Linked DNA regions of Caenorhabditis elegans. The main gene of each other region encodes a partner of the protein of the gene in region 2 in a complex. Each region holds a gene or a part of one and is shown on either strand. Other genes may lie near its edges. The genes, in order: air-2 and csc-1.

The links.
Region 1: csc-1 (region 2) and air-2 share a complex: the UniProt entries of both Caenorhabditis elegans proteins name them as parts of the CPC complex.

The regions. Positions count from the first base shown.
Region 1 is NC_003279.8:5,935,738-5,939,704, reverse strand, and holds air-2 (Aurora/IPL1-related protein kinase 2), read right to left. Parts: upstream 2,229-3,967; 5' UTR 2,222-2,228; coding exon 2,154-2,221; intron 2,105-2,153; coding exon 1,996-2,104; intron 1,920-1,995; coding exon 1,552-1,919; intron 1,489-1,551; coding exon 1,215-1,488; intron 1,115-1,214; coding exon 1,016-1,114; 3' UTR 829-1,015; downstream 1-828. Other genes in the region: B0207.6 (GPN-loop GTPase 2), read left to right, coding at 2,761-2,919, 3,037-3,144, 3,302-3,500, 3,828-3,967. UniProt on the Caenorhabditis elegans protein: Serine/threonine-protein kinase component of the chromosomal passenger complex (CPC), a complex that acts as a key regulator of chromosome segregation and cytokinesis.
Region 2 is NC_003280.10:13,595,145-13,598,755, reverse strand, and holds csc-1 (Chromosome segregation and cytokinesis defective protein 1), read right to left. Parts: upstream 1,802-3,611; 5' UTR 1,801-1,801; coding exon 1,734-1,800; intron 1,681-1,733; coding exon 1,392-1,680; intron 1,334-1,391; coding exon 1,238-1,333; intron 1,180-1,237; coding exon 882-1,179; 3' UTR 809-881; downstream 1-808. Other genes in the region: fbxc-23 (FTH domain-containing protein), read left to right, coding at 2,213-2,265, 2,307-2,601, 3,063-3,245, 3,295-3,560, 3,608-3,611. UniProt on the Caenorhabditis elegans protein: Component of the chromosomal passenger complex (CPC), a complex that acts as a key regulator of chromosome segregation and cytokinesis during mitosis.

The DNA.
Region 1 (3,967 bases), on a different chromosome or scaffold from region 2:
GTATTTTCCGCAAATACCTAACGAGACCCAAATTATCGGGGCGGAGTCTTTCTATTTGGCGTTGGAGCGCGATTGCATTCTGATTTCAAAAGATGCGTTATTCACAAGTGAAAAATGAAACTTTAATTTTCTTAATCAGACAAAAAATGTGAGATTTTTGAAGAAATCGGAGAAAACGGTTCAGCAATTAGCATGAGTTCTCAAATAAAAATGTGTTCTCAGAAATCTCGAAAGAAAATAAAAAAATTAGAAAATTCTAGTTGTATAACTAAATTATAGCCAAAGTACCACATCATCGAAACCTATAATTACACCGCCCGCGCTTAATCGGTAAAAGTTCCCTGTAATTTAAAAATTTAATTTAATTTTTTGTTGTCCAGAATGACATCTTGTGAAATATGCTTTGTTTGAGAAAAACAACTTTTTGAAAATGTCCCCGCACCACTTACTGAAAAAATTATAAGTTTTCGAGGACTTAAAAAGGGCACAAGAAGTGCTTGAAATTGTTGGAGCACGTGAATTTCAAAAACCTCATGTTTTGAAATTTCAAGTGTACTCAGTACTAAGCTTAGTTGTTATTTTTCCTTTTGGGACTATAAAGTCGCACGGTGTGATAAAATAATCCTAAAGAAAATCGAAATTTTCTTGTCGCTTTTAAATTTTATTTTTTTTTTTTTCTCAAAAATCTAAAAATGCAAATGAACCTCAACGAAAAGAAGCAGCTGCTCCGAGTGCGAGTCTACGCGACATCTGAAAAAGGAGAAAATCTCGGGAGGTACTAATTGAGTTGTTGTAGATATATTGAGAAAGATGGAGAACGAGAAAAGAAAATAAATTTATGTTGAATGAATGGGGTTAGACGATTGGGAATAATAGAGTTCGCGAAACAAAAACTACATGAAAAATTGGTTGACAAGTTATTTCACTTTTTAAAATTTCTAGTAAATGTGATGAGATCCTTTATTTGACAGACAGACGAGATGATTGAAAGAAGGACGGGAAAATCAGTAGTTGATCAGTGATTCCGAAGACTTGCTTCTTTTTCAATCTTTTGCTGCTTCTCAGCTCTAATTTTTGCCTCCATCATTCCCTGGATCCAGTAGTGTTCCTTCACCTGTAATAATTTAATGAATTATGATAATTAAGAACACTACAAAAGTGTACTTCTGTGTGCTGATAATATGTTGGCCACTAAGCTGAAATCAATAACAAACCTGTTCAAGCGTACAGCGAGCCTTGGGATCAACGACAAGCAATCTTCCAATCAAATCTCGTGCACCCTTCTTCACAGAATCAGGGTAAGTAAACCGTGCCGCTTTGATTGCCGCATATGTCTTGGACTGATCTTCGTGCTCGAATGGGGGTTTTCCAACGAGAAACTCATAGCAGAGAACGCCGATTGCCCATAAGTCAACTGCGTCACTGTGATCGGCTCCATTCACCATTTCAGGAGGGAGATAGTCCATTGTTCCGCACATTGTTTGGCGCCTGAAAACATGACAGTGAATTTTTGGAAACATCTAGATTTCCTAAATTTGAGGATAAACTCACTTATTCGAAGGAGCATGAACACTCCATCCAAAATCTCCAATTTTCAATTCTCCTTGTGATCCGATAAGCAAATTCTCCGGTTTAATGTCGCGATGAATCACATTTTTCCTGTGGCAATATGACAAAGCATCTGCGATCTCATACATATATTTTGCAGCTGTTGGCTCTGAGAATCTCTTGCTCACTGTCAATTGCTTGTACATTTCGCCTCCGGGGGCATATTCCAAAACGAGATAGATCTTCTTCGCATCCCAAAAATATGTGTAGAGCTTGATAATATTCGGGTGATTCAAATGAGATTGAATCTCAATTTCACGCTCCAATTGATGCTCGACGCCTCCTGAGATGAGTTGCGATTTGAATAGAACCTGAAAATATGTATGGGTAAAACGGATGTCAGAAAAATGATAATTCAAATAAATACAAAATAAATCAATATGTTACCTTGATCGCTACATGGAAATGTCCAGTTTTTGTGCGAGCCAGGTAAACACTGCCGAATTTTCCTTTTCCCAGTGGTCTTCCGATCTCGAAATCGTTAATAGTAAATTTTCTGTAAAATCAAGAATAATTTATAAACTTTTAAAACCTTGATTTCTTACCCTCCCTTCTGTGGAGTATTCACAGTTTCCTTCTCTGGAAGGTTGATTACAGGTGGCTTATTCTCCATGTCGGAACTGAAAAGTTTTTTATGAAGAAATAAAATAGACGGCACGATTAAGGACAAATTAACTAAAAGAAAACATCACGATAAATTTATAAATTGAATTAATTAGAAGTTCAATGGCCCAATTTTTAATTGAATACATTTAGATATTTATGTAGAATAAAAATAGGACTAATTCTGCTTTGATTTCAAAAAAAAGTGAGAAATCAACACATTACCTGAGTAAATATGTTTACAAAAAACGAGTTTTGATTGCAAATAATTCTAAAGAAACTAAAAATTGTCAGCTGGATAGTAAGGAGAAATGCAAGCCGTTTAAATAAAAAATTAACGCGGCAAAATGCAATGGTCCGCAATATGTCGTCATGTACGGTGTAAATGCGTACTTGGCCCTGTGCCAGGCCCGTTTATCCTGCTTTTTTGTTTGTTTTAAATTAAATTAAATTGTATTTATATATTTTTGTTCTTCTTAAATGTTTTCCTATCAAAACAATCCGTAGAAAATTAAGATTCAACTAGAAAATTTCAGTACTCATTGGACTATGTACGGAGTTCTTGTAATTGGAGCTCCTGGAGCTGGAAAATCTACATTTTGTGCAGGATTAACGGACATTTTCTCACAAACCAAACGACCATTTCTCACTATCAATCTTGATCCTGCTAATGACACAATGGCATACGCACCTGATGTAAATATCACTGTAAGTATTTTATTCCAATGAATATAGGACAATAATTATGAAACGTGGTACAGATCATCTATCAATGTTATTTTAATACTTAAGGTCATATTTTTCATTTAAAATACTAAAGTTTAGGAAATGATCACTGTGAATGATGTAATGGATCGACTTGGACTTGGACCAAATGGAGCTCTCAAATACTGTATTGAAACACTTGGAGCTAATTGTAATTGGCTCCTCCAGGTAATTTTTTTGGCAGAAAAAGTTAATTCTCAAAAGCTAAAAATTGTTTTCACAACAATTGAGCTAAAATCTGGAATTCTCTAAATTTGAATCGAGAAAATCGGAAATCATTTTTAACCTCTTTGTAGTTTTAATATTCAATTAAATCTTTTTTCAGAAAATCGAAGCGAATCACAAGAAATATCTGATAATTGATTGTCCCGGACAGTTGGAACTATACAAAAGCGAAGGCGAACTATGGAAAGTTATCCGCTTTTTGGAAAAATCCGGTGTTAGACTATGTGCCTTACATCTTGCCGATTCACTTTACTGCAGTGACCCATCGAAATTCATTTCTGTTGCATTATCCACATTAGGTAAGAGTTCATTAAGATTAAAAAAAAATTGAAATACTTTTCTTGTCTCTCGACCCGAAATTTCCAAATATAATTCAGCTGATTTCCTCCAAAAAATGAAAATTTATTTTTGTTCTGTACAATTTTGAAACTCCATGGGCCTTTATGTATTTCTGGCTAAGAAATGCAATATCTTTCTGGCACATAAAACTTTCATTTAATCTGAAACCTATTTTTGTTATTTATTTGATTTTAGATGGAAAAAATTGAAATTCGGAACCACTTTAAATTTTGTGTGGCTGAAAGGAACAAATTAAAATTATATTCATTAAAAAGCTTCAATTTCAGCGACAATGGTAACAATGGAGATGCCACAAGTAAACTGTCTGTCAAAAGCAGATCTTTTCTCTGAAGACGGGACCTATGATCTCGAGTTTTTCTCCCATTTACCTGATGTCAATCGACTTTTGGATCTTTTGAATGAAGTT
Region 2 (3,611 bases):
ATCTGATCATTCAGCTCCGAAGGATAAGAAGGGTACCTCCTGGTGATCTGATCCTTCAGCTTCAAAGGATCATAAGCCGCACTTCACGCGGTTTTATTTATCTCAAACAAAAATTTTTTGGTAAAAAACTTTCAACTACAAACTTGTTCTTTACAACAATATCAACAACTTATCAGTTGATGACTTTTCTGTAAAAACTTTATCTACGGAAATATTTAATTCCGGCAATTTGCCGATTTGCCGGAAATAATCATTTACGGCAATTTGCCGATTTGCTGGAAATTTCAATTCCGGCAATTTGCCGATTTGCCGGAAATACTCAATTCCGGCAATTTGCCGAATTACCGGAAATACTCAATTCCGGCAATTTGCCGATGTTCCGGAAACATTTAATACCGGCAATTTGCCGATGTTCCGGAAACATTTAATTCCGGCAAATTACAGATTTGCCGCAAATATTCAATTCCGGCAAATTACAGATTTGCCGCAAATATTCAATTCCGGCAAATTACAGATTTGCCGGAAATCTTCAATTCCGACAGTTTGGCGTCCACCGCTGATGTAAAACACAAAAAGAATTAGCGTAAGTTGAACAAAATCGCGGATTCTTGTCAAAAACTGTTTAAATAACTAGTTCACAGTTGTCCAAGAGTAGTACAAGAAGGCTGGAAGTTTTCTTTCCGATTTTCTCTGAAAAAAAACTAATTTTTTTTCGATTTTTTGCAGTCAAATTTTTTGCAGTCTATTTAGAGAATCAAACGATCGTTGAGATCAAAAAATTTGCATATAAAAGGTAAAAGACGGGAAAAATTGAAATATCAAGTATTTACAGATCATTATAAAAATTAAAGCGGGGGAAAAATTAAATCGGGGGATTTTTCCTATACAGACGTCCCGGCATTTTCAGTTTCCGGCTGGAGAGGCCCGGCTGCTGCCGCTGCCTTCTTGCTCGCCGCACCAGATTTCTTCGACTTCTTCCGATTCTCCTTGCCAGCAGCAGTAGCAGTAGTTCTTCCAGCCAAGACCAGTGGCGATCCGTTCACCGAGAAGGCGATTTCCTCGTCAACGTGTGGAGCACGGAATGGCTTTTCCGGTTGAAGTGTTGGCAGTGGGAGCACTTGTCCAGCTGGCGTTATGATCTCGTTGCGGCGGTGCTCGTCGGCCGCCGTGTTCCTGCCGCTGAAAAAAAATTAATTTATTTATTGAGAAATCGATTTTTTTTTTGTTGAAAACTTACGAGTTCTGGCCAGATGGAGCAATCGGAATGCTCGTCTCATGCGCCGCATCGTCGTCGATTTCAGGCTCCTGCTTGACCTGCACCGTGTTCCGGCCGCTGGAAAATTTATTGATAAAAGTAAATGGCGGAAATTTGGATTTTTTTGAAAACTTACGAGTTCTGGCCAATCGGAATGCTCGTCTTTTGCGCCGCCGCCGCGTCGTCGATTTCCATGTCAGGCTCGGAAGGAAGCTCCTGCTTAACCGCCACCGCCGCTTCTCCTTCCTCCTCCTCCTCGCCGGATTCAATGTAGAAATCATCCGGTGGCGATGCCAGAAACTCCATGATCGGCATATCCCTGTATTTTGGCTTGATTGTGGCGATGATCCGGTCGGATTCAGCCTTTGCTGTCTGAAGGGCGACCTCCCGCAGCTTCTTCTTATACTCCTCGAGTAAGTCCTTGACTGGAAAATAAATTATTTAAATATAATAAATTACTGGAGATCTTCAAGCTTACCACGCGTCTCGAGAGTATCCGCCATCGCAACCACAGCCGGGTCCTTCTTGATCTTGCGTGGTGGCATTCTGAAGAAAATAATGAGAAATAATCGGAGAAAATCGAATTTTTGAGGGAAATTAACGTGAAAATTAACTTTTTTAAGGTAAAAATCACAAAAGAAATCGAAAAATGCGTGGAAAATGAGAAAAATGGCGGAAAAAATTATAAAATTAATCGAAAAATTTTCGCGCTCGCATTCGGTGTTTGCGGACTGCGTACCGTACCCCACGCGCAAAAGAAGGAAACAGGTCTGGAATAAAGATTTATAAAGACAAACTTATGAAAACATGATTTGAAATATATTTTTTACCGTTTTTCCATTTGCATACACTTGATACCAACTAGAACAATTAATTTTCACTGAAGAAAATTTCGTAGCAAGAAATTTCGCAATTTTGCCTTTTTTGCTGCAATTATTGATAATATTTCAGCTTAAAATGTATTCTGAAAGCGTCCCATGCATATTCAAATATTTATCATTTGACAAGAAGTGGGTTTTATTTTAGAATCCATTTGAAAACACGATTACAGAAGCCATCTTGCAAATTTCAACTCGATATTTCGCAAGCTTGAAAAAAAGCTTCCCTATCACTTTAATTGTATAAAAATCGATACAACAAGGGAGGACTGGCACTTTTCGATTGATAAAAAATATAATTTCAATATTCAAACTGCTCAGCTTGGCGCCAACGTTTTATTCGGTGGAGTTCAACAATTCGGAATTTTAATTGCAAGTCCTGAAGATTCACAGACTGAAACCTTTCGGAAATTGGTGGATTTCTATTTAAATCGACCAGGAACAAGTATTCATACACTGCAAATTCTGGTAATTCTTACGCGATTATGTGTGCGCCTTTAAAGAGTACTGTAATTACAAATTTTTGTGTTATCTAGTTTTTTCTATAATTTGTTGGAAATTTGGGGTTTTTAATTATTTTCTTCTAGTTTTCACAGATTTCTGGCTTCCCTCATAAATTGAAATGGAAGAGTTTAGGCCGAACTAGTCCATTTTGGCTCGGCCATATCTGGGGTAGATTTAAGGTGCGTTGCGTGTCGCGTCGCGGCTCGGTTTTAGTTGTAAAACGAAATGTACGTGTCCGTGTGGAGTACACGACTTTCCCACGCGTTGTCCAGCGGGAGATTATCAATGGAGCGCGAAAAATTCAATGAGCAAGGCCAGGATCCCGCGTGAGCAACGAAAGTTTTCAATTACAGTGCTCTTTAAAGGCGCACACCTTTTATCAATTAACGAAATTTTGTCGTGACGAGACCGTCGTGCGTTTGCAGAATCATCCATATGGTCTCGAGGCGTGCTGCCAATTGAATATTCGACACATTTTTGTAAGAATGCGGATTGAATCCCTGAGATATGACTACACGACCTGGTTTGATTGCCTCCGAGCTCGCCCGTTCGAGACGGCGGAGGTGGATTTTGTTGGAATGGATTACTTGATTCTGGCGGAGCCTGTGGTAGAGTCTGAAATTTGAAAATTCACAGAAATTTGTTGTTTCCTTCCAGATATATTCAGCCAAGAAGCTGTGTATAAAATCATCACGTGCAATTCCGATTCGCGCGATTTCAAATCTCCAATCTCCTTGGATATTCTTAGATTATAATATGACCTCCCCGAAAGTTGTAAATCTCTGCGAAAACTGGATTCAGGACAAAAAACCGATGGGCACCACCTTGACACTTTTCGTGTTCCGTGAGAAGTTTGAGCTGGTTAATCAGGCGATTGATAATAGGTTTGAAGCAAGTTCAGTGCAAAGGAGTGTGGAAGATAGGTAAGAGGTAGTAGTTATTTGAATTTATTTGAAAAAGAAAGTTTCAGGGAA